Mus musculus: one gene and its partners. The protein of the gene in region 1 interacts with the protein of each later gene in a biochemical or structural test. Links are inferred from orthologs where the notes say so. Each region holds a gene or a part of one and is shown in the gene's direction. Other genes may lie near its edges. The genes, in order: Kit, Mpdz, Lyn, Src, Plcg1, Ptpn11 and Ptpn6.

Region 1 (4,158 bases):
CCCGGATACTATAAAAACCCAGATTGTTACTGTCCACCCCCGGATAGCCACAGTGACTGTGAAATGTCCCTAGGTAGAAATTGTCTTAAGAGAATTACTTTAGGAGTTGGAGAGTTGGGTCAATTAGTTAAGAACAAGAAAGTTGGCGCATGACTTTAATCCCAGCACTTGGGAGGCAGAGGCAGGCGAATTTCTGAGTTCGAGGCAGCCTGGTCTACAAAGTGAGTTCCAGGACAGCCAGTAACCCTGTCTCGAAACAAACAAACAAACAAACAAAGAAACAAACAAAGAACAAGAGTAGTTGGGCTCCAGGCACCCACAAGATGATACACAAGCATCCGTAACTCTAGTTTCAGGAGATCTGACATCCTTCTGACCTCCCTGGGCACTAGTCACACACGTGGCACACACACATATTCATGTAAGTAAAACACTCATACACATTAAAAAAAAACTTTAAAAGGAAATTATTTTGCTTTTATCTTGCTCCTAAGGCAGACCACAGTCGGATCGAGTTGGGGAAAGGGGGACTCAGAGGGGATGGGGCGGGGGGGGGGTGTTGAGGGTGAGATTAAAAAAATAATTAACACAAGAGAAAAGGCACCCAAATGCAAATAGGTTTTAAAAACCGAGTTTCAAAGCTAACTCCTTCACAGGATGCCTCTGTAGTCCACTGGCCCAGTTTCCACAAGTCTCAGCAGGAGCTTGGCTGGGTGGAGGTCCACGCTGGCCAATAGAAATCAGCTGTATTCTTACAGGTTTCGCAGCAGGTGGAGAAACTGAGCATGAAAAATTACTTAAACGTGGGCTCGGTCTTTTACTGAGGTCAGGGGTGCCACGATCCGTCCTCCTCTACCAACAGGAACAGAAATAAATGTTGGGGACCCAGTTTCCTAATCCCTTCGCCCGGCAATCCCGACTAGTAACACCTCCACCATAAGCCGAATATATTCTCCCCGCTCCGGAGCTTGCTGGAGGGACCGGTGGTTGTCCTTTATTGTCTAGGGAGCACCTGCCAGGTGGCTGGCCCGTACCTAATGCGCTCGTGGCGCTGGGCTTCACAAAGCGCGGGCAGCACCTGCGTGGCCAGCCAGCCGCCTGGACTGAAGGACCACCGATGGAGGGAGAGTGCTAGGAGGAAGAGGATCCAGGGTGGAGGGCCTGTGGGGGCTCCTGGTCTTAGAGGGCACAGCGCCCCCGGGATCAGCTTATTGCAGCCCGAGAGCCCCGGGCACTAGGCAGCGGGAGGGAGTGCGACCCGGGCGGGAGAAGGGAGGGGCGTGGCCACGAGCTGGGAGGAGGGCTGGAGGAGGGGCTGTCGCGCGCCGCTAGTGGCTCTGGGGGCTCGGCTTTGCCGCGCTCGGTGCACTTGGGCGAGAGCTGTAGCAGAGAGAGGAGCTCAGAGTCTAGCGCAGCCACCGCGATGAGAGGCGCTCGCGGCGCCTGGGATCTGCTCTGCGTCCTGTTGGTCCTGCTCCGTGGCCAGACAGGTGGGAAAGAGCGGCAGACAAGAGGACTGCACCCTCTGTGGGCGCAGCCCGGGTCCGGGAGGGGTGCCACCTGGGTGCGTCCGGAGTGGTAGCTGTTGGCTTTTCCCATGCCTACCACCTCGAAGGTGGTAGGCGGCCGCGGGACTCTGGTGGCCCGCCTCGCTCACCTGAGCTGAGAGACCTCAGCCCGGGTGGTGGAGACCCGGGGCCGAGGGTCTTCTGGGAACCCAGGCAGCGAGCTGCAGGCTGCGGGCGAGTTTGGTGATGCTTTTGTGCCGACTGCGCGCGGGTGGCAGGGGCGGGCGGCCTCGGGCTTCGCACCGAGAGCGTCCTCTCTCCGAGCGAGGTGCGGCCACGGCTTCCTTTTTGTTAAAAGTTGCGCGTGGGTGACCGACGCCTGGGACAACCAGCCCACGGGTCCCGGACACACGCCGGGCAAAGTTGGAGAGCCTTTTCTTGCGGCCGCTGCTTCCCCACCTCGGGCGCTCTTTGTGCACAGTGCTGGGGACGCAACTGCAGCCGCTCTCATCGTGCGCGGCGCCACCCGAGGAGACGAATCTCGGGCTTGCTTGCCCCCACCCAACTCCGTTTTTTGCACGGGGAGCACGCGGCGTGAGGCTCTGGGGCGGGACCCCACGAGCCTGTAGGTGGCGGCTATGGGGACAACTTGAGCCGGGCGTGTGGCGAGCAGCCGCTAGGTTGCAGACTTTTTCCTTTTGTAAATCTCGTGCTAGGGGCTCGCCCCTCTCTGCAGCCGCACGGTGTTCGTTGCTGCCACGCGCCAGGGAGCTGCTGTAGCCTACGTTGGTCGCCAGCTTCTGGGAATCAGGGACTGCGTGCGGGGACGCAGCTGTTCTTGCCACCTCGTGCGCGCTGGACCAGGACCGAGTCAGTTCTCCCCAGCTTTGGAAACCTCTGGTTTCAGTGTATGCGACTTGTAATCGCAGGTGGCCGTTTTTTTTTTTTTTTTTTTTTTTTGGAGGGGAATCCCGAGATCCAGAAACCCTCTCCCACGTGATAGCCATACTCAGGGCTGCCTGGGGAGGCTAGGGGGTGGGGGAGAAGGGGTAAGCTTTCTGCAAATAGCATTTGTTTCTTCAAGCTGTTGGGAAAATCTTGTTACCTTTTGCAGGGTAACTTGGGTCTCAAGATCTTAAGGTTCCGGAGCTCCTCAGCCCTGCCCCTTTTTTTGCCAGGTGTCGCTGGTGCACTGCCCGTGCAGGTTGCCTGCTTAGTCCTGAAGCCCTGCTCCCTCCTAGGTCATTTTCAAAACAAAAACCAGAAACCCTTTTAGGTTACCTTGATGCTATAGGCTAGAGACAATCTGCACGCTGCAATAAGGCGTCAGATGGCCAGCATCTCTGTGACCTGTTTTGAGCCCACCGCTGACTGCGTTTTCCAGATCTCACTCCCTAGATGCTTTTGAAAGGCTGGGAGAGGGCTTTTTTTTTGTGGGGGAAGTCTTGCATCTGGACCTCTGCGCGCACAGAAGAGGGGTCACCAAGGGTCACAAATGAGTGTTCAGATTCCTAGGCATATTTGACCACTTAGCTGAAAATGACCCCAGTGATCTTTTACGTTTTCCACCTTGTTCTGCTTTAGAGCAAGGTGGAACGCCACAAAGATCACAGTTCCCTTTTGAAAACAGAAACGAGTCAATGGTTTGCATTTTCCCCCTGATTAGTCTGCTCTGGCCAATAACTTTTTGGCAGAGGGAATTTGAAGGTCTGATTCCTGGCACAGGGTGTGTTGTAATTCCTTTCTCTGTCTCTCCCGTTTCAGGCCTCCTTTTCAGCCATTCTGCCTCCTTGGTTTTGTGCCCTTGGGCGGTCATTTAAATTGGGAGTGGGTGTGTGTTGGGGGGGACTTTGGTTTCCACGGAAGGTACTTGAAGACATTTGCATCACGAAGGATCTGAGGAGTTCACAATTTCAGAAAGCAGCTTTCTTGTCTAAGGGCCTTTTGGGGTGTGTGTGTGTGTGTGTGTGTGTGTGTGTGTGTGTTACGGTTTTGCTCCAGGCTTTGCAGGAAGCAGTTTTGTGTTTTTGTTTATGCTGTAACCTTTGGAGGGCTAACCAGTGCCTGCTCTGCAGTAACCCCTCCTTCCGGGGCATTCACAGTGGGTTTACAGCTCAACAGGATGGTCCTAGAACAGTGAATCAGACCTCCTCCCCCTCCCCACACCCCCTGTTCCTGCAGGTGCAAGTCCCTAGTCATTCATGGTCATTCACGCACCTGGCATTCTGGCTTACGATCCTGCTGGAGATAATCTGATAGTTCCTTGAAGAGATCCTCAATAATTCCACGTCTCCCCCATTCTGGGCTCTCCCCATCCATCCACACATTCGTATGACGTTATAAATCATGTATGCCATGCTTTTGCAACACTCTTCCTACTGTGCTTTAAATATCATATCATGGATGTGTTTTGTGCATACTTGGGGCTTCACAATCAGTAAATGTCTGCAAGGCTCCCCATACTGAGGGCTTTGCCTGCCATTTCTGTACTCAGGGGCCCAGGAGGTTAGACCACTACAGTGTCTATTCCTATTCCACCATTGTTTTCCAATTGGAGAATAAGTCACTTGCCCAAAACAGCCAGTGAAGGAACCGGAGCTCAGCTCCGTGTGCCCAACTGTGCATCCATTATACAACTCACCAGAATCTG
Region 2 (3,500 bases), on another chromosome or scaffold:
GTTACCTAATCAGACATGAGTATACTACAAATAGCTCTTCACCCTACTACACTTCCTGGGTTTTCAGTTTTGATATTTTTGAGAGGACATCTTGCTCTTCTTCAATGAACTGTGATTGAAAATACTGAATATATTAGAAAACACACTAAATATAAAAGTATTAGAAAAGATAAAAGGTAAAGGGAGGCACATTTAAATTTTCAAGTTATTCAATGCTGCCCTTATCTTGTTCACAGTTGACTTTCCTCTCTGAAGTTGAGACTATCATTTATGATCCTACATTGTGGTTCTCTGAACTTTCATCCCCTCTCAATAAACTGGAAAAAGAAGGAGAGTTTCTGTGCTATGAAAGCATTCAATAAATAGCATCTTTCTTATCTGTAACATAGAGGATATACTATCTGTAGTTTGAATCAGGTAAAGCATAAAGCACAGAACCAAGTGAGTGTGTGTGTTTGTGACCTTTTTTTTTCTCCTTTCTTTTTCTGTAGCCCTCCACAGTCTAAGACCATTACGCTAGACCGAGGACCAGATGGCTTAGGCTTCAGCATTGTAGGCGGCTATGGCAGCCCTCATGGAGACTTACCAATTTATGTGAAAACAGTGTTTGCAAAGGTAAGCTTACAAGGTTTACCCATTCTGTTCCTTACTAGACATTAATTAACACTGGTCAGCAGCTAGCTTATTAGTTTAAGGCCTGACGTGACGCCAAATGGTTAACATTGATATTTTCTTTTGAAATCTCTGCAGGAACAGGTTATTAAATGTTTTTATCCTAATTGAGGTTTAGTTATGTTTAGAGAAAATTAGTTCAAATTGAAACTCCATGGAAACTCTCAGTGATATACATGAAACAATCGATGCAGCCTGTCCCTTCCATTGAATAGAAAGTCACACATGATTACCTTTTGAATATGGACTTTGATAATATATCTGCTGTCAAGAACTGGCATGTTTTCCTCCGTGTTCTTTTATAGTTGTGAAATCTAAAGTAGGTACAGAAAAATACACAAAATTAATCTCACATTATGACTAGGGTGTTTATACATTAATTTCATTGAAAAGAGAAAAAGAATTGAGGAGTAGTGAGCAGACCTGCTGTCTGTAATAAAGCATTATTTGCAATCAAGGGATTCAGTTACTTATGAAAAGAAAGCTCTGTGTATAGTTGTAATCATCCACTGAACCATCTTAAGAATGTTTAGAATAAGAATAAAGAGACTGTAATTTTGATGAAGTCATTAAAATAATAGAAATGCATATAATGGTTGGTAATGTGTTGTTAAGATCTATTTTCAAAGACTACAAATTTGAACAACGTTTCCTGCAGAAGAGAACTCAGAATCTCACATTTTACAGTGGAAAAGAACAGAGTGAACATCAGGCCTGTAAAGATTCCACTTGGGCTCTTTAAATGCTCCTTTATGTTATGGAAGTTTCTATTATTTTAGAAAAACACTACTATTTTCAACCAATTTAAAGTGCTGTTCTGTGGCAAACTAGCTGTAGGCTTAATTTGTAAGTTGTTTTTTTTTTTTTAAGTTATTGGTACATCCAAAAATACAGACAGCATTTGCCAATGAATAGAAGCGCCATGCAATCCTTTTCCTCGGCCTAGGAACAATTTATTTAAGGCATGCTAGTTAGAACATATTTTAAGAATTTCATCATTATACGCTCCTCATTAACTCTTCCATATTTTTAATCTTATATTTAATTGCATAATTATCGTCTATGTTCATGCCTGAGATGGAGTTCTTTTTTAAATAGTGATGTCTGTGTTTAATCATAATTATTTAGAGCCTATAGGAATAGGAAGACTCTCTTTTCCCTTGCAGTAAAAACCAAGACAGCTTGAGCAGTCTTTCTTTGCAAAGCTTAGAAAGAATGACACTTAGCAGTGCTGGGGGGCTCGTGTCTGAGCTGTGTGCTGGGATGGAACTCAGAGCCCGATTGATGCTGAACAAGCATTGCATGAGCGGTGTCTCCCCAGACCAGCACTGGCTTTTAAATTCTCACTCTGCCTTACCCTGATCAGCCTCTATGTGGGCTTTCTGGCTCAGCAAACCTGTGGACTCTCAAGTCTCCATAGCTTTGTTTGATGAGGCTGCTTTTGTTCTCCCTGATCCTTTGTCTTTCTGTAGGCCCTCTTTATAGTCTGAAAAAGCCTCCGTTTCTGTGAAATCATTCCTGTTAGGCAGATGCCCAAATATTCTTTATTAATTTTAGTTGCCACCAATTGCTGTCCTAAACAGCCAAAAAAAAAAAAAAAAAAAAAAAAAAAAAAAAAAAAAAAAAAAAAAAAAAAAAATTCCAGCTACTCTGTTGACTGCTAGCTAACTTCACTACCAGATTGGAATGTCAGTGTTAAACCAATTTGGAAGAAGGACCTCTTTTTTTTAAGTATGTTCATCATGTCTGATGGTATGGGGCACCGGGAGCCATGTATGTGTACATGCAGAGCAATTTGCATTCTTCTTTGGCTCTTTTTCTTTGTGTGTGGCTGAGTTCTTTCACAAGTAAATAAGCCTACTTTATACTTGCAGGGAGCAGCAGCAGAAGATGGGCGTCTAAAAAGGGGCGATCAGATCATTGCTGTCAATGGGCAAAGTCTAGAAGGAGTGACCCATGAAGAAGCTGTTGCCATCCTCAAGAGGACAAAGGGCACCGTCACCCTCATGGTTCTCTCTTGAAGTGACTGCCAGAGCTGAAGCAGCCCAGCCACTGGCTCCCCTCCTACTGTAACAGAGAGGACCTGTTTGTATGCTGTGTTGGTCGGAGAAAACTACAGTAGGGAGGCGAGAAACAGAGTGTTTGTTACTCACAGCCAAGCATCATTTTTCCTTTACTCTGCATTTCATGATCATATACTCAAAAAGAAGAGATATTTGCATAGATAAACCTCAGTTTTATCTCGACAATATCTAACAATTTAAGGTCACGTGGACAAAATTATTATATGTTCATCTTGTTAGTGTGGAAACAAAATGATACAAAGTTAGGCAATTAGGTTAAAGATGGAAATTTAGAAAAAAAGAAGACAGTTTTGAGTTTTATAGGACTTCTTCAATCCAGCAGTCCAAAAGAAGAAAAGAAAGTGCTTGCAATACTTTTGAATAGTCTACTGTTTTAAAATTGTGACATATTGGTCCTACTTACCTCTAATGCATATTTTTCTGCTAAAATTGTTTAGCAGTCCTTGTAAGCTTTAAAAAGAAATTCCTGTTTAGTGCATATCTCGGTGTTTGTTTTCAGTTTTAACCTGCTATATTTTCATGTTGTTATAGGTAAAGTGCTGATGCTACCCTGTGTTGGCTAGAGTTCTAGGAAACATCCATGTAGCCATGGGAGACAGAGAAGGAGCCCAGAGTGTTCTAATGCTGATGTAGCAGACTGATACTACGTGGAAAACATGTTACTGTACCATGCTATTGTTTTTCCATTAGTATTAATCTTAATGACATAGAAAAAGACAGCGTGTTAGTAATTATTTTGGTTGT
Region 3 (4,285 bases), on another chromosome or scaffold:
GGACAGTGACAGTAGCACTGTTCATTATAGGAATAACCACCTTCCTACTGTTTTTGTTTGAGGAGTTATTCCTGTGGCTTAGTGATGGGGGCACTCTAAGAAGCATGCTCTTTGGTGATTTCGTCTTCTGGTAGACATCGTACACTCACTTAAACCTATGTGCTCCAGGTCACTCACTTTATGTCCTTTTTGATGCAATCAGGAGTCATGGTCCACAACGGTAGAGAGGACTTGTTGGTATCAGCATCATCACAAACGCTGTAGATCTGTCTTGCACTGTCACACTGAAAGAGCTATGACAGCTACGACACCACTAAGTGATACAGATTTTTCAGCTCCATTATAATCTCTGGCACCATCTTCATAGTCCCTGGTTGACTGAAAAATGGAGGGGCCAGGAAATGCTGGTGCACACCTTTAATTCCAGCACTTGGGAAGCAGATTGCTGGTTTCAAGCCCAGCATAATCTGCAGGGTGAGTTCTAGAACACCCAGGGTTACAACGAGAAACCCTGTCTGAAAAAAAGAAAAGAAAAACAACAAAACTGGTGAATCAGTGTGCTCACAAATGTTAGTCTTCCTTCATTAGTAACAAATGACAGCTGTACTGGACTTTGTTACAAGGTACCTGTTCTGACCTGTTGAACTGCAATTAGGGAATCCCAGAAAACAGAAGTCAGATTAGCATAAGTGGGTATCATAGTGACTGAGGCTAATTGCATATCTTGGTTCAGTAAGGGGCATTTATCAAGTCAAAATTTGGTTTGAACAAGCAATCTTACAACACACACTGGTTATGTACCTACAGTATGCCAAGTACTGTGTACACATAGGAACACAAGGACACAGCATTTGTTAGGAATGCAGTAATGTTACCAGGACCACATGCTAATCAATGCGAGCCTGCTACAGAGGACAGTTCTTGATAAGTAGTCTTAGCTCCATTTTCCTGGAAGCTTTCAGCTATTGGCATGCCCTTTAACTCCATAGCGAGTTCCCACTCCTCATTCCAGTGAATATCTTCAGCACTCCTTGTACACCTTTAAGGAATTTGATGTTTTGATTGTTAAAGCAAAGATTCCCCCTCGCCATACCCTCCAAACATCTACTCGCTGATACCGGTTTTTTTCTCTCTGGAAGCTCCAAACACACACAGAGAGTGCTGCTTCTGCTCCCAAGACACAGTGCATTGAGGAGTTGGGTCCTAAGGAACAGTGAAGTAAGGTGAACGTTTTCCACGACCCTCGAGAACCCCTAGATCTTCCACGCAGCCCTGGGGAGAATGTTGTTTCCGAGGCTACCGCCACTCTCCCAACTTGCGGTCTGGGTCTCCAAAGTCTGTTTGCTTGTAAAACCCTGAGCGATGGCTACACCAAATACCAAACCTTGGACAGGAACCAAACGGTCACTTCCCCGCCCTCCCAGCACAGTATGCAAATTCGAGCACCAGGAAGTAGCTGGGACCTCTCGGCCGAGCCCAGCGACAGCCAGTTCCTCTCCCACCGAGCCGGGCCTGGGCGCCTCCCGGCCAACGTTCTGCAGCTAATAGGTTGCTGCAGGCCGGGCACTGTTCCCCGAGCAGTGTGCCCGCAAGTCCCGGTCACGCGTCCTAAGACACCGGCCCGCAGCTGCTTCCCAGGCGGGCCCCGCAGGGCTATCCCGTCGCGTGAACAGCTTTTAACCGAAGTCACCGTGGAGTTCCGCCGCCCCGAAACTTCCACCACGAGCGAGTAAGTCCGGGGCTTGAGCGCAGGGTGGGTGCGTAGGGTGGACCGGGCAGGGACCGGGGCTGGGTCAGAGACCGGATCACAGGTCGCTTTCTTGGCTTGGGACTCCGGGTTTCGGTGCAGCCACGGCGCCCGCAGCAGAGGTCGCGCACTGCTTCTTGGTGGCGCTCGCGCTGGCCCCGGGTGGCGAGAGCATCTAGACTCCTTCAGCCTTGGGAGACTGTGACTCGCCGGGGCGATCGAGCGGGGACGCGGGGGCGGCGACTCCGCAGGTGTCCGCAGCGGAGCGGCGCGGAGGCGTGGTGGGCAGTGCGCACAGGGTGGGCGCCCCTGGGTCCTTGGCGTCAAGTCTCTCCCATGCCCCTCTCCAGCTTCTCTTGCCTGGCAGAGAGAAGTGGCCTGAGTCCACTCCGAAAGGGAGCGCGGTGGGGATTCCAGAGGGAGTCATCTGGGATCCAGTATTTAGTGTCCAGATCGGACCTTGAGTCCCCAGGGATGAGAAGGGGGGTTTGAACCCAGCCCCTCTCTAAGGTTGGCTGACAGCTGAGGTCCCTGTTGACTCGAGGCAAGGTGGTGACGTCGAACGGCTGCCACAGAGGCTGTAGCTTGACCTCCCGCGTAGCTCGACTTCTGTCAGCCCGCAGAGGAGTAGTCCAACGCCTTGGCCAAGAGGAAGCTAGAGTTATTTTAAGAATTCAGGGATGCCTTTCCTTCTGAATGGGGGAAGGGTGTGTGCGACAGTTCCCACTTGCCTGCCTTATCTTGGCTGACTATAGTGACTTCCCTATGCTGTTGGTGTAGTGTTTTTTGTTTTTTGTTTTTTTTCCCAATAGTCCCCGCTACTTGGGGTGCTTGTGGTTGTCTCTTTATTTATTGGAGTACCGGTGTTTTTGTTAATTATGCTAATCCGCCCAACTTCTTTGCTGTTCAGAATCCAGGTGGGAATCTAGGCCCTGCATTCTCTCAGTGACTGCGAATTATTGAAGTTCCCGGTTTGGGTTTCCGCCTGATTGACTATGAACCTACTTCATAGGTTTAGTACACTGAAGGTCCTTGAACATTATATGAATATAATGTTATATGAAAGTTACTTGGTACAACTGATCATCTATAAAATCGGAGGCCTTTGGTGGTTGGCAGTTTGGCGATTTTTAAACCCGAGACCACATGTCTGAGTGAGCTAGCTGACTTGAAAATCTATCTAATAAAACACCTGAAACGTGTGCTGTGCTGCCTCAGAGGTTCCTGGGATTCCCCCAGTTCAAGAGATCTTAAGACCTAACGTGGAAGACGATGGACTCTTTGCTCCGAAGCTCGGCTATCTGTAGGGTGTTTTCTCTCTGTGGAGTTAACACCCATAACATGTTTTAGGGAAATAGGCTATGCCCTGTGGGTTCAGGAACTTCCTGGTCCCTTCTCTTTTTTTTTGGGGGGGGGGGTCGAGACAGGGTTTCTCTGTATAGTCCTGGCTGTCCTGGAACTCACTCTGTAGACCAGGCTGGCCTCGAACTCAGAAATCTGCCTGTCTCTGCCTCCCGAGTGCTGGGATTAAAGGCGTGCGCCACCAAGCCCGGCTTCCTGGGCCCTTCTTAAGTGAAATGAAACTCTCCTCCCCTCAGGATTGCTGCCTATCCAGGTCCTCATTTGGAGAAAGGCAGGGTGATTTGGGGGTTTTGTTGTTTTAAAAATTCAGCTCCCAAGAGCCTTGGTTATGATCCGTTTGGGCTATATGTAAGTGGAGTAACTTTCTGAGCCTTGAAGAGGACAGTAGATGTGGAGGAAGAGAGCTCAGGAGGTGTGTTGTAGGCACTGTTTGCCAGAGCTGAAGTTTTGGACCAGTCACTTGGGCCATGGACTGAGTCAGCATTCCATCAGGGCAGCATCAGTTATATTGACATATTTCCATGTTCACGGGCTCTTCATCCAGACAATGTCAATGCCAAGACAACAACGTTATCTCTCTTGTCCCACATGAAGTCCTAGTGCCTGGTGCCTGATAAGTAAGTGCTCAGTGAAGATGTCTTAGAAGGAGGAAGGAAGGTTGCCTACTGGACACATGGAGTTGGGGTCTTCTGTCTTGGTTTCTGTAACAAGGGTAGGAGGACATTTTAGAATGGCACCGGAACCTTCAATGGAAATCCCTGGTCAGGACTGTTCTCTGCATGCCTTGGAGAAAACACAACAGTTTCTGTAGAGGCAGTCACCCTAATTTATCTTAGAGTCTATGGTTGCTTTGTGATACTCCCCTTCCATGGCCAGTGTCTTCCTTTTAGCAGAAAAAGTAGTCTTGCACAGCTTGGCAAATCAGAGACTTTCAAGACCTCCTAGTTCCTGCAGTGTTTCTGTTCAGAAATAAATTACAGGAACACTTGAGATTAGAGTTTGTTTTTACAGAGATACTACTTGGAACCATATAAGAAACCTTCACTGATTTCATAAATAGGAATACAATATGCACACGTATACAGCATAAGACATTGTTACAGCTCACGGGGACCAGTGATCCCTTGGATACATAGATTAACACAACACTGAAGGACATTAACCGGTGACATTGGC
Region 4 (4,111 bases), on another chromosome or scaffold:
AAATCTTAGGCATGGAGGAGGGCGGAGAAACCTGCTCCTCCAGCCAGAGCCTGCCCAGGGGAGCCCTGGGAAACTGCCGTTAATCTTTAAGCAAGCCCTGCGAACAGGAGTGGCTGGCTAGTTTGCCCGCTGTTCATGAGAAACCCTGAGCAGTCCCCGTGGCCACAGTGGGCTACCCTGGCCCCACTTGCTCTTGTCAGTGAGGCCCTCAGATCTTCAGCCTGGCCCACTCCTTCTTCACAACAGAGGGGGCTGGAACAGGAAGCTAGTGGACAGAACACACCCTGAGGCACCTGGCCTAGATGTGACCTCAGATCAGTCTGACTCAAAGCTTTGCCCTTTCCTGGTCTCCTGGGAGACATAGCTGTACCCTGGGGCTGGAGCCTCTCACAATCTAGGATGATGGGGGACTTGCCCTTTGGGAGGGATCTTTGCCAGAAGCCCAGGCCTGTGCCACATGAACCTCAGTTTCCCTGTCTGTGAGATGGAAGCACTTTCAAGGAAGGAACATGGAGATGGTTGATAGATGGTCAGGCCCATCTTTCCAGAGTGAACGGGAGGAGTCAAGGATGCTCCTGGACCCCCAACGGGCAGCGCTAGAACCTGGTGGTCTTTGAGACCAGCCTGAAGCCACATCTCATCCCGCTTGCCCCATTTTTCTTCTCTACTTCCTGTCCGGTTGGTTCTGTCATCCTCAGTGGCTGGCAACAAGCACACTGCCCAGCAGATGCACACGGTCTCCTTATGCATTGAAAGTGAATTTAGGCTTGGCCTAATTGAGCTGGGCCCCGCAAGTTCCTGCCCTCCATTGGCAGAGGCTGGAGGCTCCGCAAGTTCAAGGCCAGCCTTGGCCACATAGTGAGCCACTGTTTTGCCTTTTGATACATTTTAACAATACTGCCTCTCCCCCTCACTATTTCCCTGTCCCTTCGGTTCCAGTCTCTGAGGATTAGAGACACTCAGGGTCAAGGCTGGTGTGGCCAGTGCCTCAGTTTCCGGACAGTGCTAGCCACCGGTGCGTAGCTCAGGTAGCTAGGGTTGAACGCTAACGTGGTCCCGGGAGGCCGAGCCCGGCGCGTGGCGTGGGGTTGGGGGGGCGCCCCCGCGGGCGGAGCTGCGGGGGGTGGGGGGCTGGGTGCGGGAGGCGCGGGCCCGGCTCGCACAGCAGGTCTCCCGGGTCGCCGGCGGGGCCCGGGTCCGCGCTTCCTCCTTTCTCCGGCTCGCGGCGGCCGCGGCCCCTCCTCCCGCGCGCTCCCTCCCCCTCGCCGCCGCCGCCGCCACCGCCGCCGCCTCCTCCCTTTCTCTCGGTCTGTCTCTCCGGGCCCGGAATCCAACCGGCCGCCCCGCCGGAGCGGCCAGGCCGCTGCCCGCCAGCGCCGCGCGCCCCGCTGGGGTCCGCCCGGGCGCGTCCGGAGCTCACGGTCGCCGTGCAGGTGAGCGCCCCCGCCCCGCCGGCCCCGCGCCCTGCTGCGGGCTCCCGCCCTGCCCACTCTACGCCGCGGCCCGCGAGCTGCCCGCCGCGGCCTTTTGTTGGGATGCGCGGGGGAGGACGAGCGGGGTGCGGGGGGCACCGGAACGCGGGGACCCTCGGCCGCAGAGTCCCCTGGCTCGGTTAGGCCACATTTGAAAACCCGGCCGATCGGCGCCGCCCGCGATCGCGGCTGCTGGGCCTGGCGCCCCCGGCCCGGAGTGGGCGGTGGGGGTGGGGTGGGCGTTGGGGAAGGGGCACCTGGAGGGCCACACTACCTCCTTAGGTCTCACTGGGGCCTTGGGTAGGGCCTAGTGCTGCTGGTCTGGAAGAAACAGGGCCACCCTGTCCTCGCCCCCCATCCCCCCCAACCCCCAGCCTCGCCCCTGCGCAGGCCCAGCGACCGATGGACTCAGAAGTTGGCAAAAGTTTTGGGGTTTCACTACCGCCACCAGGTCCGCTTGCCCACCCAGGCAGGTACTGGAGGTGAGTTTGTGCCCCCTACTACGACCCACCACCACTTGTGCCTTAGTTAGCTCTCTGAGCCAAGGCCCTCCTCAGTGGTAGGTGGGCTGGTTGAAGGGTGGGGTGAACAGAGGGGACTCACTCTGGGTATCCATCCCATAAACCTTTGAGGCATTCCGATTAGAAAGGTGGACAGAGGTGTGTGAGGCTTCTGGGACCCTGAGGTCTTCCCGGCTTTACAGACTGCCCAGTGAAGGCAAGTGGTGTTGGGGTCATCTGGGTATAGGTCAGATTTAGTTACCAAGGTGGACACGGGGGCGGGGGCAGGGGCGGGGGCAGGGGACTCTTCCAACCTTATGGAGTCCAGGTGTCTAGGTTTCTTGTTTTCCTGAGTGACCTGAGCCAGGGACCGCCCCTTGGACTATTCACATCAGTGACTATTCCCTGCACTTCCGCAGCCCAGGACTTGGCATATATGGGGGGGCGTGCTCAATAAATGAGTCCCATCCTGGAGCTCGCTCGCACAGGATGGTTGAGGTACCTGTGGCACAGCTGCCTGCAGAAGCGGGTAACTCCGTGCTACAAAGGGTTCCCTTTGGCCTCAGTCCTCTCAGGGAGGATCGATCAGTTGGCTTGTGAGGTAGCTCGGTGGTAGAGCACAGGCTCAGCTTGTTCAAGGCCCTGGTGCTAGCTGCAGAACCACAGGAAAGAAAATGGAGCAGTTATAACCAGAGCTGCTGATATCCAGTGAACGCCTCCCGGGGTTAGCCTGGTCTGCAGCTGCAGAGGAGGATATAGCCTTCCTGAGGAGCTGTCTGGCTGCCCTTTAACCCACCGTGACGGTGAAGGGTGTGTAGTTTTAGATCAGGCACAAGGCATTGTTGGAAGTTTCCCTCCATATCTCTCGCACCTGGCAGAGACATAAGGCCCTACTGGAGATGAGGTGTGTCTGGGTGAGGTAACCTTTCCACAAGGGAAGTGATTTACAGTGTGTCACCTCTCAGCTGACCTCCTGTCTACATCATGGGGCACACACTAATGAGTGCTAGGAGTGCCATGCTCCCTGCTCCGTCCCCTCCCCCTAGTCTCTTGTTCATCCTTGTTCATCCCAGCCTTAGGGCAACCCTAATCTCTCCCACCCCACCTTCCTCTATCTCCTGTGTCCTTTTCCCGAACCCCCTCTCCCCCACCAGCCTCCAGCACATAGGCTGGCTCCTGTTTGGGGCTTCTTCCCTGATTGTCATCTGAGGGTGGGGGTGAGGATAGGGTGTGTCTCGCTCCCCTAGCCCCCCAGGAATCTCGGAAGGACATGGTTAAATGATCTTTGTTCTTGCTGTCCATCTGCTGACTTTGATCGCGCATTGAGCATATACTATGCACCAGGGCCTGGGAACTTTGTTGAGCAGCTTTGTGGTAGGAGGAGCAGACAGCTTCCTGGAGGAGGGGCTTAAGCTGAGTGAAGCAGTGGCGGGCCAGCCAAGAATGCAGCTGGGTCAGTGCTCTTCCTTTCTATTCAGAAGGTCATCTGCCTGGGGACTTGCTGGGAAACTGTGAGCAGGTCTTTGACTCCTAGAAACTGGAGTGTGGGGGATAGGCCATGCATCAAGCAAGTGGCCAGATAAATGAATATATACTCGTGGCTGTGATAAAGGCAGAGGACTCTTGAAGGAGGAATTTAGGGGGCGTCTGGGCATGAAGCTAGGGGAAGGTGTGCCAGGCAGAGAGAGGTGTGTATGTGCAAAGGCCCTGAGGTGAGGGGAGGTGTATAATTGTTGTGGGGAACCAAAGGGAGAGCTATGAGATAGGATGATCCAATGGGGCCGCTATCAATAGGACTGCTCCCTATGAGGGCCCACTGGAGCCTGGAGGAGGATCTTGGCCTCCAGTTTTTACATAGGGAGCAGGTGGGTATCCTCTCTATGAACCAGATTAAGCTGGAGGGCAAGGTACACAGCTAATGGAATAGATGTGCAGTCTGGACTTGCATATTCTGTGGGAGCCCTGATCAGGTCTCAGAAGGAGGAGGAGGAAGAGGAGAAGGAAGAAGAAGAGGAAGAAGCTAGGTTTAGTAGGAGTTCAACCCAGAAAGCCAGAGGCACTGAGAGCCCAAGGATCAGGAAGTGCAGTGCAGGGTCGGGGTGAGGGTGAGGGAGAAACTTGGGAGGGAGCTGGAGAGCA
Region 5 (3,500 bases), on another chromosome or scaffold:
GATCGTAACCGAGAGGATCGGTAGGTGCTAAGCTGAGGCGGATGCCTAACCAGTGGGTAGAGGCACCCAGAGCATTGGAGCCAGAGGGTCCATAGAACTGAGTTACATTGGGAGGGGTTAGGGGCTCTGACACAAAAGTAGTCCATGCTGCTGAGCGTGGGGTACAGAGATAGTGCTGGACTTCTAGGTGTAACTGGCAATGCAGCCAGAGCACCAGGAGCTGGAGGAAGCAGAGACCAGATGGCCTGCTGTCAGTGCTGCTTTGTACTGTTGCAAGGTCCCCCAGAGGCAGGAAGCCATGGGATGTGTAGAGGAGTGACCTGCTCTGACCTAGAGTTTCCCCAGTGTCCTACATAGGCTTACAATTGCTGCAGTGAAACACCATGAACGAACAGCTTGGGGAGGTAAGGGTTTATTCAGCTTCAATTGGCTTCCTCGTTGCTGTTGATCACCAAAGGAAACCAGCTCAGGAACTCAAACAGTGCAGGATCCTGGAGGCAGGAGCTGATGCAGAGGCCATGGAGGGGTGCTGCTTACTGGCTTGCTCCTCATGGCTTACTCAGCCTGCTTTCTTATAGAGTCCACGACTACCAGCCTAGAGGTGTCCCTACCCACCAACATAGAGCTGGGCCCTCCCACACCAATCACTAATTAAGAAAATGCCCTGCAGGCTTGCCTACAGCTGGATCTTACAGAGGCATTTTCTCAATCGAAGCTCTCTCTTTTACCGATGACTCTGGCTTGTGTCAAGAAGACATAAAACTAGGCAAACACAACCAAGATCATACTGCTGTAGAGGGCTGTTAGACACTGTCCGACCATTCTGGGTGTAGGTGAGAGGGCTCAGGTTGAGGTAATAATAGTAGGAATTAGCTGGATTTGGGCTATGTTCTTTGTTTAAAATTGCATCTAAAAAGTCAGAGATCAATAGGCTTTTGACATGCGCAACTGGGAAGTAAAGTTGCCATTGGCTGAGACAAGAAGACAGTGGGAGGAACTTACTGTGGGAGCTTAGGGTCCAGTATGGATGTAAGTTTTATGGTGCATAATAGATTCCCAGGTAGAGAGGTATGGAGTTACCAGGCTGGTAGAATGAGTTCAAATGAGGAGGTCGGGCTGGAGGTAGTAACACAGGACTGTGGACAGGTGAAATGGAAACTCTTGGGGTCCCCAGATAAAAACTCAGGGACCCAGATAGCAAGAAAAGGGAAGAGGCCAAGTGGCAGCTGCAGACTGCTTCCACATGGGAAGCTAGGAAAGGAGGAGTATGCTTAACCCTTCTGAGTAGTCATGTTGTGGGGAAAGCAGCTTCAGTCCGTGGTGAGCAGCTTAGGGGCAGAGGAGATTGCAGGTGAGTCTTGTGAGAGTTTTCCATAGCGCTGGACGGATGGCTCAGCGCTTAAGAGCACTCACTCAGAGGTCAATTCCCAGCAACACATGGTGGCTCACAACCATCTGTAATGGGCTCCAATGCCCTCTTCTGGCGTGTCTGAAGACAGCAACAATGTACTCACATACATCAAATAAATAAATAAATAAATACTCTTAAAAAAGGAGTTTTGCATAGAGGGGAAGGGACAACAAACACAGAATTAAGCAGGGCAGGGTGGAGAGAGCAGTGTGATTTTTATGACAGCGGGAAAGGGAGGAGACAGGCTTGACTGCAGCTTCCTGGCTGACTGAGGGTCAGGTGACCCAATGCTCCCCGCAGAGCCTTGACTCTAGGGCATTGGTTCTCAACCTGTGGGTCTCGACCCCTGTGGGGGGGGTTGGATGACCCTTTCCCAGGAGTCACCTAAGACTTTCTGCACAGCAGACATTTACATTAGGATTCATAACAGTAGCAAAGTTACAGTTAGGAAGTAGTGATAAAATAATTTTCTAGTTGGAGGTCACCACAACGTGAGGAGGAACTGTATTAAAAGGGCGCAGCATTACTTTGGGAACTACCTGTTCCAGGACATTCAATTATTGGTGAAGATCCGAGCCTTAGGGAATTTTGGTCTTTCGTGCCTGGCTTTAGGCCAGAAGAGGGTGTGTTCTCTCTCCAGCACCCACTCCTCCCAGGAGAGCATCCTTTTCCAGCTTTTTCATCCTGTTGTTGTCCAAGCTGCTATGCTTAGAGGGTAGAGTGCGCTGATGCTCTCTTCTCTCTCTGTCTCCCTCTCCTCTCCCTCTTCTCTCTTCCCTTCTGTCCCTCTCTCTGAGTTCTTTTCCTGGAGCCTCAGGAGTGTGCTCAGCAGCAGCAGTTACACATGGCTAAGGGTGCCCGCGCTCCCTTCCCTGCTACCTATCCTGGGGACTGTGGGTCCTAGGATGCCTCCGTTAGTGGCAGTGGGCACTGCCCTGCCCTGTACAGGCAGCAGATCAGAGCTGGGGGCAACTGCTGGAAATGGCTTATTCTGCCTCCCATCCCAGCCTGACCTGCTTTCCTCTGCTTTCCTGAGCTTGGTCACTTGTGGCTATTGGGCTTTTTCTCTTTCACTGCAGAAACTTGAGGCCCAGAGAAAGGCAGGAACTCGCTCCATCTAGCACAGCATGAAGTTTGAAAGAGTGTTGCTCTTAAGACTGCAGGTTCCCAGAGTATAGGTGTTTACCTGTCCATCCTTAGGTTCAGCCTAAAGTCAAAAGGGAATCCTTTTTCTCCCCTTAGTATATCAGCCAAGGACTTGAAGAACATGCTGTCTCAGGTCAACTACCGAGTCCCCAATATGCGCTTCCTCCGAGAGCGGCTGACGGTAATGGACACTTGGGGCTATCCTCTGGCAAGGAAGGGGAGGCCAGTGACTCCTCCTAAGGGGCTTGACTGGCAGTTTTGCTCTGTACTATGTAGGACCTTGAACAGCGCAGCGGGGACATCACCTACGGGCAGTTTGCTCAGCTGTACCGCAGCCTCATGTACAGCGCCCAGAAGACGGTGCATGAACCTCCCACCCTCCCTGTCCTTGGCCCAACTCCTCTGCCTTCTCTCATAGCCCTGCTGCCCTGCTTTGGAGTGGTTTTGGTGCCATTACTCTAGCCACACACACCCCTCCCCCGGGGCATCTGCTCCCTAGCCTTTTCTTAAGAGCCCCTTTCCTGCATGGCCTCCCAGGGCTCCTCCTGACCAGATTCTGTTCTCTGCAGATGGACCTTCCCTTCTTGGAAACCAACGCTTTGAGGTTTGGTTTGGAACAGCCAATTGGGCTTTTTCTCTGGGTGGTTTCAGATCCAGGTGGGAAGCAGTGGGTAGATGGGGATGGGGCATAATAAACCACTGGGTATCTACACTAGACGGGGGCCCTTTGTCAGCCAGTGCCAGACACTAGGTTTTCTCCCTACAGGACTGGAGAGCGTCCGGAGCATTGCCAGGTGTCCCTTTCTGAGTTCCAGCAGTTCCTCCTTGAATACCAGGGGGTATGTCTGGGCCAGGGAGTTAGGCTGCAGGGTGGCTTCATCATTGGTGGCCTCCTCCATGACTTCTTTACCTGGCAGGAGCTGTGGGCTGTCGACCGGCTCCA
Region 6 (3,500 bases), about 46 Mb from region 1:
ATAGGCTTGGTGCATGCTAGCAAAGCACTCTATATACTGAGCTACATGCCCTGCCTGCAGTGTCAGAGTATCGGCAGAATACCCTCATTGCAGCAGCTGCAGTTAGTGTTCCTTACACAGATTCTATAGGGCTCCTACGTTTTCTCCAGGTAGATTTAGAATGTGCTTTAATTGTAACCTTTATCAACAGCTGATGAGCTTTGGGAGTTGGGGCAGAGAATACGGAGCTTGAGATGCCGAAATAGCAGCAGTGCTGCAAGGTGCTCTGACCAGTTATTTAGCAACAGTACCATCAGAGGTCAGGCTAAGCCCAGAAGTGGAAAAGCAGAGTCCTGAAGGACCAGCTTTTCATCAGCTTTTAGCATTCTCTCCCAAATGTGTAGCACATCCGTGTCTGTAGAGAAAGAACTGCCATGTTGTGAAGTTCTTCCTATGTGCGCTGCGGGGTGGGAGGGTGGTGGTGTTGGGAATGGGAGTTGAGAGCTGGTACTTGCTTTATTTACCTGGCATTGGCTTCTGCATTCTCCTCTCTCATTGCAGATCCTGGGTCTTGCCTTTCCCAGCTTTCTGTCCTACCTGCTAGAAATTTGTTTCTCTGGCTACTACTGTAGTCTCAAGCTGTCTCCACCTGCTTTAGATCTGCACGTGCCTTTCCAGGGGCATGTAGATGGAAGAATGCTACCAAGTCTGTGGTGATGAGTGTTACTGCTCGGGTTAGCGTCTTCCTTACCTAAAGCCATAGCGATCGAGTGACTGTGTCAGGATGTTTCTGTGACAGCTTAAGTTAAGAGCCTTGGTCTTAGAGTCTGCCATCTGATGGCTCTGGGCAGCCTGTATCAAGGGTTCCTAGCACACTAGCTAAAGTACAGATGTCTTGGTCCCATGTAGACGTTGTTCTCTCTGTCCATGAGAACTCACACTGTTAAGGAAACCCCTGTGCCTGCTCCAGGATGGAACACCATTAAAGCTTGACTGGATAGCCCAGTGTAGTTTGACCTGGCCAGCAGAGTCAGAGACAAGTACAATTAGGTTGGAAATAGGGAAAAAGCTGAAATGCTTTGAATTAGCTACAGCAAAGACCCCTTTGTATCTAGTGGCACGGCAGGAGCAGGTTCATGTGATCCCGGGTCTCTGATCACTTGTTTGTTTGTTGTTGGAATCCAGGCCTCATGTAGGCTGGGCTGTCTCCAGATGGCTGTGTAGCTGCAGATGACCTCGTACTCTTCATTTTCGGTCTCCTCTCCTCAGTGGATGGGGTCTCTGTCGGGGTTTCTGTTGCTGGGATAAAATGCTATATCCAAAAGCAACTTAGAGAGGAAAGGGCTTACTTCACCTTACAGCTTATAGTCCGTTATCCAGGGCAGTCAGGGCAGGAACTCGAGGCAGGACCCTGGAAGCAGGAACGGATGCAGAGGCCATAAAGGAATGGTCTTTACTGGCCCGCTCTCTTGGCTTGCTCAGCCTGCTTTCTTATAGTCCCCAGGATCACTAGCCAAAGGGTGGCATTACCAGCAGTGATGGGCCCTCCCCCATCAGTCATCAATTAAGAAGATGTGCAGTAGGTTAGCCCACAGACTAGTCTGATAGGGACATTTTCTCAATTGAGGCTTTCTCTTCCCAAGTGATGGTAGCTTCTATGAAGTTGACTAAAGCTAGCAGTGCACATGAATTATAAGCATGTACCACCACACCCAGTTGCAACTTTCTTACCTCTTCACTAAATGCAACAACTGGCTCTGTTAGAGTCAGGCACTAAAAAGTCAAATTGTGTATGTGGTCCCCCCCCTCCCCCCCGAGACAGGATTTCTCTGTGTAGCCCTGGGTGTCCTGGAACTCACTTTGTAGAGCAGGCTGGCCTCGAACTCAGAAATCCGCCTGCCTCTGCCTCCTGAGTGCTAGGATTAAAGGCGTGCACCACCACGCCTGGCTTTTTTTTTAAGATTTAGTTTTTATTATACATAAGTACACTGTAGCTGTCTTCAGACATACCAGAAGAGGGCATCAGATCTCATTACAGATGGTTGTGAGCCACCATGTGGTTGCTGGGATTTGAACTCAGGACCTCTGGAAGAGCAGTCAGTGCTCTTAACTGCTGAGCCATCTCTCCAGCCCCCAAATTGTGTTTTTAAAAGATGGGAGATTTAAGAGGAAATAGGAAGCATTGAGGATATAGTTTTTTTGTTTGTTTGGTTTGGTTTGGTTTGGTTTTGAGACAGGGTTTCTCTGTGTAGCCCTGGCTGTCCTGGAACTCACTCTGTAGACCAGGCTGGTCTAGAACTCGGATCCACCTGCCTCTGCCTCTCCAGTGTTTGGATTAAAGGTGTGTACCATCATTGTCTTGTGGACATTGTTTTCCAGTGATTCTGAGCTCCTTTAAAAGATTTAATGGAGGCCAGATGTGGTGGAGGCGCTCACAATATTGGCACTTAGGAGCCTGAGGCAGGACGGTCTACAGCTCAAGACCAACCTGGGTCACACAGTGAGACTGCCTCAAAAGAGAAAATCGAATTTTAGTTGTCATTTTTAACATATCTTTGTCATTTTTCCTGTCCAAGATGTAGACTGCCTGTCAGACAGTACCCTCTGGAGGAAGCTGTGTGTCAGGCGCCTGTGCTGAGCAGAGTGAGTGAGTGTGGTCCGTGAGAACGTGCCGCGCGCGCGCACACACCGCAGCTGAGCTCAGCTTGTTCCCTGTCAAATATGTTCACAGGTGGTTCCATGGTCACTTGTCTGGAAAAGAAGCAGAGAAGCTGCTGACGGAGAAGGGCAAGCATGGCAGCTTCCTCGTTCGAGAGAGCCAGAGCCACCCCGGAGACTTCGTTCTCTCCGTGCGCACTGGTGACGACAAAGGGGAGAGCAACGACGGCAAGTCCAAAGTGACCCACGTCATGATCCGCTGTCAGGTAGAGCACCATGGGGACTGTGGGCCCGCATCAGCTGCATTGGGGGCTTCTGCTGAGAGGACTAGACACCAGCACACCGCCTGTCCTTCTGTCCTTGCTTGGCTGCACCCCGTGTGGGGCCCATCGTTTTGAAGCACTGTTGTTGTTTCTTTCCTTTTAGTTGTTGCTGTGTTTTTCTGTTGGCTGTTTTGTTTCTGTTTTTCTGAGATGGGTTGTATGGATCCATGACTCCTGAAGCCCATTGGCTGGTGACACTGCACTGTCCCTCCCATGTCTGTGGGTGCACCCCTGGGGTCAGCAGACTTCAGAAAAGCATCCTGTGTCTATCTGAACACATGCAGACTGCTTTCTTGTCACATTCCCTAGTGTATAGCATCACGGCTGCACACATGACATCACGTGATGCTGGGCAGAGGCATGGTGAGGAGTCTGAGGTGATGGGAAGTGTGTTGTGTCATTATAGAGTTTACATTTGATTTTGATTTAATTCATTTTATGCCATTTATTGTCTTTGGTGCTGGGATGGAGCCTAGTACCTGTCCCATCACTGAGCTGCAGTCTCCTGCCTCCCCTGCCTTCCTCTCTTGCCGCCCCTGC
Region 7 (2,948 bases), on another chromosome or scaffold:
CTTCCACCTTACTTTTTGAGAGAGGGTTTCTCACTGAACTTGAAGGTTATCACTTCAGCTAGGTTGGCTGCCAGGGAGCTGTCTCTACCTCCTGTCATCCCCTGGTGGTGTGGTTACGTGACCACTCTGCCTGGCCTTTTTTTTTTTTTTTCCATAAGCATGCTTGCTTGCACGATAATCATTGAATAACTTTTTCTTTCTTTCTTTCTTTCTTTCTTTCTTTCTTTCTTTCTTTCTTTCTTTCTTTCTTTCCTTCTCTTTCTTTCTTTCCTTCTTTCTCTTTCTTTCTTTCTTTCTTTCTTTCTTTCTTTCTTTCTTTCTTTCTTTCTTTCTTTCTTTCTTTCTTTCTTTCTTTCTTTCTTTGTAAAGACTGGGTTTCTCTGTGTAGCCTTGGCTGACCTGGAACTTGCTGTGTAGAATAGAATAAGCTGGCCTTGAACCTCTGCCTCCCAAGTGCTGGAATTAAAGGGGTACAGCACCATTTTTAAAGAGTTACTCCCTCTTGAAAAACCAAAAAAAAAAAAAAAAAGTTCGGGGAGGGGCGGTGGTGGAGTGGGAGAAGCCCAGGTATCCGAGGAAAGGCAGGACAGTGGTGGCAGGTTGTGGATCTTTTTTTTTTTTTTGGTTTTTCGAGACAGGGTTTCTCTGTATAGCCCTGGCTGTCCTGGAACTCACTTTGTAGACCAGGCTGGCCTCGAACTCAGAAATCCACCTGCCTCTGCCTCCCAAGTGCTGGGATTAAAGGCATGTTCCACCACTGTCCAGCCACAGGTTGTGGATCTTGTTTCTCCAAGAGACGAGGACAGCCATCATTTGTGAGGAGTGGGGGACAGATGCTTGGAAGGAGGGAAAAGGTGTCTGCACCTCAAAACAGGCCCTGGCTTGTTTATCCTGTGACTGGGCAGAAACATGGGGACAGAGCGAGGCAAACCCCTCCTTCACTGCCCTAGTGACCTCTATACACACACACATGCACACACACACACACCTGCCTCGTCTAGTGCTGGGGTGGACCTCGAGACTCACCATTTCCTGGGGAGGGCCAGGCCTCTGATGGCAGTCCCTTGTCTCTGCAGCGCTGGCATCGGCCGCACGGGCACCATCATCGTCATTGATATGCTTATGGAAAGCATCTCCACCAAGGGTGAGGAGCCCTGGGGAGTGTGTGTGGGTGTGAGAGGGGGGCAAGCCATCCCTTGGCCTTTGTCTACCCTGAAGTTCCCCTGCCACCCTTGTCCAGGGCTAGACTGTGACATTGATATCCAGAAGACCATCCAGATGGTACGAGCACAGCGCTCCGGCATGGTGCAGACCGAGGCCCAGTACAAGTTTATTTACGTGGCCATTGCCCAGTTCATCGAAACGACCAAGAAGAAACTGGAGATCATACAAGTGTGTCCGGAGTGGGGCTGGTGGGTGGTAGGGGAGTGTGGGCATCACCTAGTCCTGCTGGTACCACCATCCTCCCACCGCACCTTTGCCCACAGTCCCAGAAGGGCCAGGAGTCGGAGTATGGGAATATCACGTACCCTCCCGCTGTGAGGAGTGCCCACGCCAAAGCCTCGCGTACTTCCTCCAAGTGAGTGGTTCTGTTTGCCTTCCTAGGCTCTATCCCCCACTGCCCAGCCCTAACTGTCCTTTTCTGGAGTGGATTAGTGTGGAGGCTAGAGAAACCCTGGTTCAAGGTCAAGTTTCTTCCTATTCCCTCTGTTCTTAAATTTTCCCTGAAGTGCCCGTTAGGACCCCACGTGGGCCCGTGCTATGGACTTGTGTGAGAAGCCGTCTCTGTCCCCGGGCCATGTGGGTCCACTGTACAGAGTGAGCAGGCTCTCTTGTTCTCCTGGCTTCACATACCGAGAGTCTCAGAGGGGCTGCTGGTGCTGGGTCACCCTGCACAGTCTCCAGATGCCTCCTGTCCCCTCCCAACCCCAGGCACAAGGAGGAGGTGTACGAAAACGTGCATAGCAAGAGCAAGAAGGAAGAGAAAGTAAAGAAGCAGCGGTCGGCAGACAAGGAGAAGAACAAAGGTTCTCTCAAGAGGAAGTGATCTGGGCATTCGTCTGCAGGTGGCCATGGTGCGGCCCCTTCTGTGTGTTCTTTCTCTCCCTGCCCCCATTTCCCCAACTTCAGTTCAGACGTGCGTGCATGGCACGGTCACAGTCTCACGCTACCCTGCTAGGGTGTCCCTAGCTCTTGTATCCCCTTCCCAGACAACCTTTGATCCACTTCCTCTCTTTTATTTGCAGCATCAGCCTTGATCCCTGCAGAGGCTTCCACCCGATAGACTGAGACCTGTGGCCCTCACCAGACCCTAGGACCACCCCCATCTTCTTGTAATTTAAGTGACTGTGGTCATCTGAATCTGTATATAGCCCGGCAAGTCCCCAGGGAGAGCCGGGCCCTTCTATTCTTGTAAATAAATTCCCTGGACCACTGTGTATTGCCTCCAAGTCTGTGCCCCTTGTATCCAGGGACTCTGGGCAGGACGGGCTGGGATGCCATGTGTGGCTGGGGTCAGATAGACCTGGTTGTGTGTAGTCTCCCCTCCCCCAGCTATGATATGGCTTCACACGGCTAGATGCCCATAACAGCCCTAGGGCTTAGATTGCTCTGTGTTCTCTCTCTCATTCATGCTGGGGATGGAACCGAGGGCCTCCTATATCGTAGGCAAGTGCTCCAGCCTACACAGAGGGTGATGTGGGCTCACCTGCCTTCCCTGGCTGCCCGGAACAATGCCACTGCCACAGTACACACTGGCAACAGACCCAGGCACTAGTTAAAGAGGCTGTAGAATTAACTCTAGGCACTGTAGTTTTTGTTTTATTCTTTTGTGGTACTGGGGGACAAAGCCCAGGACCTCTCACACGCTAGGCAGCAGGCAGTGAATAGCTCTCTCAGTGAGCTGCAACCCCCACCTGTTAGTCTGGATATTTCACAGTGGAGAAAAC

The links.
Region 2: the proteins of Kit (region 1) and Mpdz form a complex in vitro, tested with the Homo sapiens proteins (2 studies listed by BioGRID and IntAct, with this or other methods). The link is inferred for Mus musculus from reciprocal best matches to the Homo sapiens genes KIT and MPDZ.
Region 3: the proteins of Kit (region 1) and Lyn form a complex in vitro, tested with the Homo sapiens proteins (2 studies listed by BioGRID and IntAct, with this or other methods). The link is inferred for Mus musculus from reciprocal best matches to the Homo sapiens genes KIT and LYN.
Region 4: the proteins of Kit (region 1) and Src form a complex in vitro, tested with the Homo sapiens proteins (3 studies listed by BioGRID and IntAct, with this or other methods). The link is inferred for Mus musculus from reciprocal best matches to the Homo sapiens genes KIT and SRC.
Region 5: the proteins of Kit (region 1) and Plcg1 form a complex in vitro, tested with the Homo sapiens proteins (3 studies listed by BioGRID and IntAct, with this or other methods). The link is inferred for Mus musculus from reciprocal best matches to the Homo sapiens genes KIT and PLCG1.
Region 6: the proteins of Kit (region 1) and Ptpn11 form a complex in vitro, tested with the Homo sapiens proteins (3 studies listed by BioGRID and IntAct, with this or other methods). The link is inferred for Mus musculus from reciprocal best matches to the Homo sapiens genes KIT and PTPN11.
Region 7: the proteins of Kit (region 1) and Ptpn6 form a complex in vitro, tested with the Homo sapiens proteins (2 studies listed by BioGRID). The link is inferred for Mus musculus from reciprocal best matches to the Homo sapiens genes KIT and PTPN6.

The regions. Positions count from the first base shown.
Region 1 is NC_000071.6:75,573,629-75,577,786, forward strand, and holds the start of Kit (mast/stem cell growth factor receptor Kit isoform 1 precursor), read left to right. Parts: upstream 1-1,358; 5' UTR 1,359-1,423; coding exon 1,424-1,490; intron 1,491-2,114; exon of another isoform or gene 2,115-2,418; coding exon of another isoform or gene 2,419-2,437; intron 2,438-4,158. UniProt on the Homo sapiens protein: Tyrosine-protein kinase that acts as a cell-surface receptor for the cytokine KITLG/SCF and plays an essential role in the regulation of cell survival and proliferation, hematopoiesis, stem cell maintenance, gametogenesis, mast cell development, migration and function, and in melanogenesis.
Region 2 is NC_000070.6:81,278,816-81,282,315, reverse strand, and holds part of Mpdz (multiple PDZ domain protein), read left to right. Parts: intron 1-491; coding exon 492-615; intron 616-2,546; coding exon 2,547-2,693; 3' UTR 2,694-3,500. UniProt on the Homo sapiens protein: Member of the NMDAR signaling complex that may play a role in control of AMPAR potentiation and synaptic plasticity in excitatory synapses. Promotes clustering of HT2RC at the cell surface.
Region 3 is NC_000070.6:3,676,636-3,680,920, forward strand, and holds the start of Lyn (tyrosine-protein kinase Lyn), read left to right. Parts: upstream 1-1,485; 5' UTR 1,486-1,729; intron 1,730-4,285. UniProt on the Homo sapiens protein: Non-receptor tyrosine-protein kinase that transmits signals from cell surface receptors and plays an important role in the regulation of innate and adaptive immune responses, hematopoiesis, responses to growth factors and cytokines, integrin signaling, but also responses to DNA damage and genotoxic agents.
Region 4 is NC_000068.7:157,422,982-157,427,092, forward strand, and holds the start of Src (neuronal proto-oncogene tyrosine-protein kinase Src), read left to right. Parts: upstream 1-1,311; 5' UTR 1,312-1,433; intron 1,434-1,846; exon of another isoform or gene 1,847-1,954; intron 1,955-4,111. UniProt on the Homo sapiens protein: Non-receptor protein tyrosine kinase which is activated following engagement of many different classes of cellular receptors including immune response receptors, integrins and other adhesion receptors, receptor protein tyrosine kinases, G protein-coupled receptors as well as cytokine receptors.
Region 5 is NC_000068.7:160,748,310-160,751,809, forward strand, and holds part of Plcg1 (1-phosphatidylinositol 4,5-bisphosphate phosphodiesterase gamma-1), read left to right. Parts: coding exon 1-20; intron 21-2,653; coding exon 2,654-2,738; intron 2,739-2,833; coding exon 2,834-2,917; intron 2,918-3,126; coding exon 3,127-3,161; intron 3,162-3,323; coding exon 3,324-3,396; intron 3,397-3,474; coding exon 3,475-3,500. UniProt on the Homo sapiens protein: Mediates the production of the second messenger molecules diacylglycerol (DAG) and inositol 1,4,5-trisphosphate (IP3). Plays an important role in the regulation of intracellular signaling cascades.
Region 6 is NC_000071.6:121,163,898-121,167,397, reverse strand, and holds part of Ptpn11 (tyrosine-protein phosphatase non-receptor type 11), read left to right. Parts: intron 1-2,710; coding exon 2,711-2,903; intron 2,904-3,500. UniProt on the Homo sapiens protein: Acts downstream of various receptor and cytoplasmic protein tyrosine kinases to participate in the signal transduction from the cell surface to the nucleus. Positively regulates MAPK signal transduction pathway. Dephosphorylates GAB1, ARHGAP35 and EGFR.
Region 7 is NC_000072.6:124,720,207-124,723,154, reverse strand, and holds the end of Ptpn6 (tyrosine-protein phosphatase non-receptor type 6), read left to right. Parts: intron 1-1,076; coding exon 1,077-1,144; intron 1,145-1,240; coding exon 1,241-1,392; intron 1,393-1,487; coding exon 1,488-1,579; intron 1,580-1,932; coding exon 1,933-2,047; 3' UTR 2,048-2,075; exon of another isoform or gene 2,076-2,246; 3' UTR 2,247-2,448; downstream 2,449-2,948. UniProt on the Homo sapiens protein: Tyrosine phosphatase enzyme that plays important roles in controlling immune signaling pathways and fundamental physiological processes such as hematopoiesis.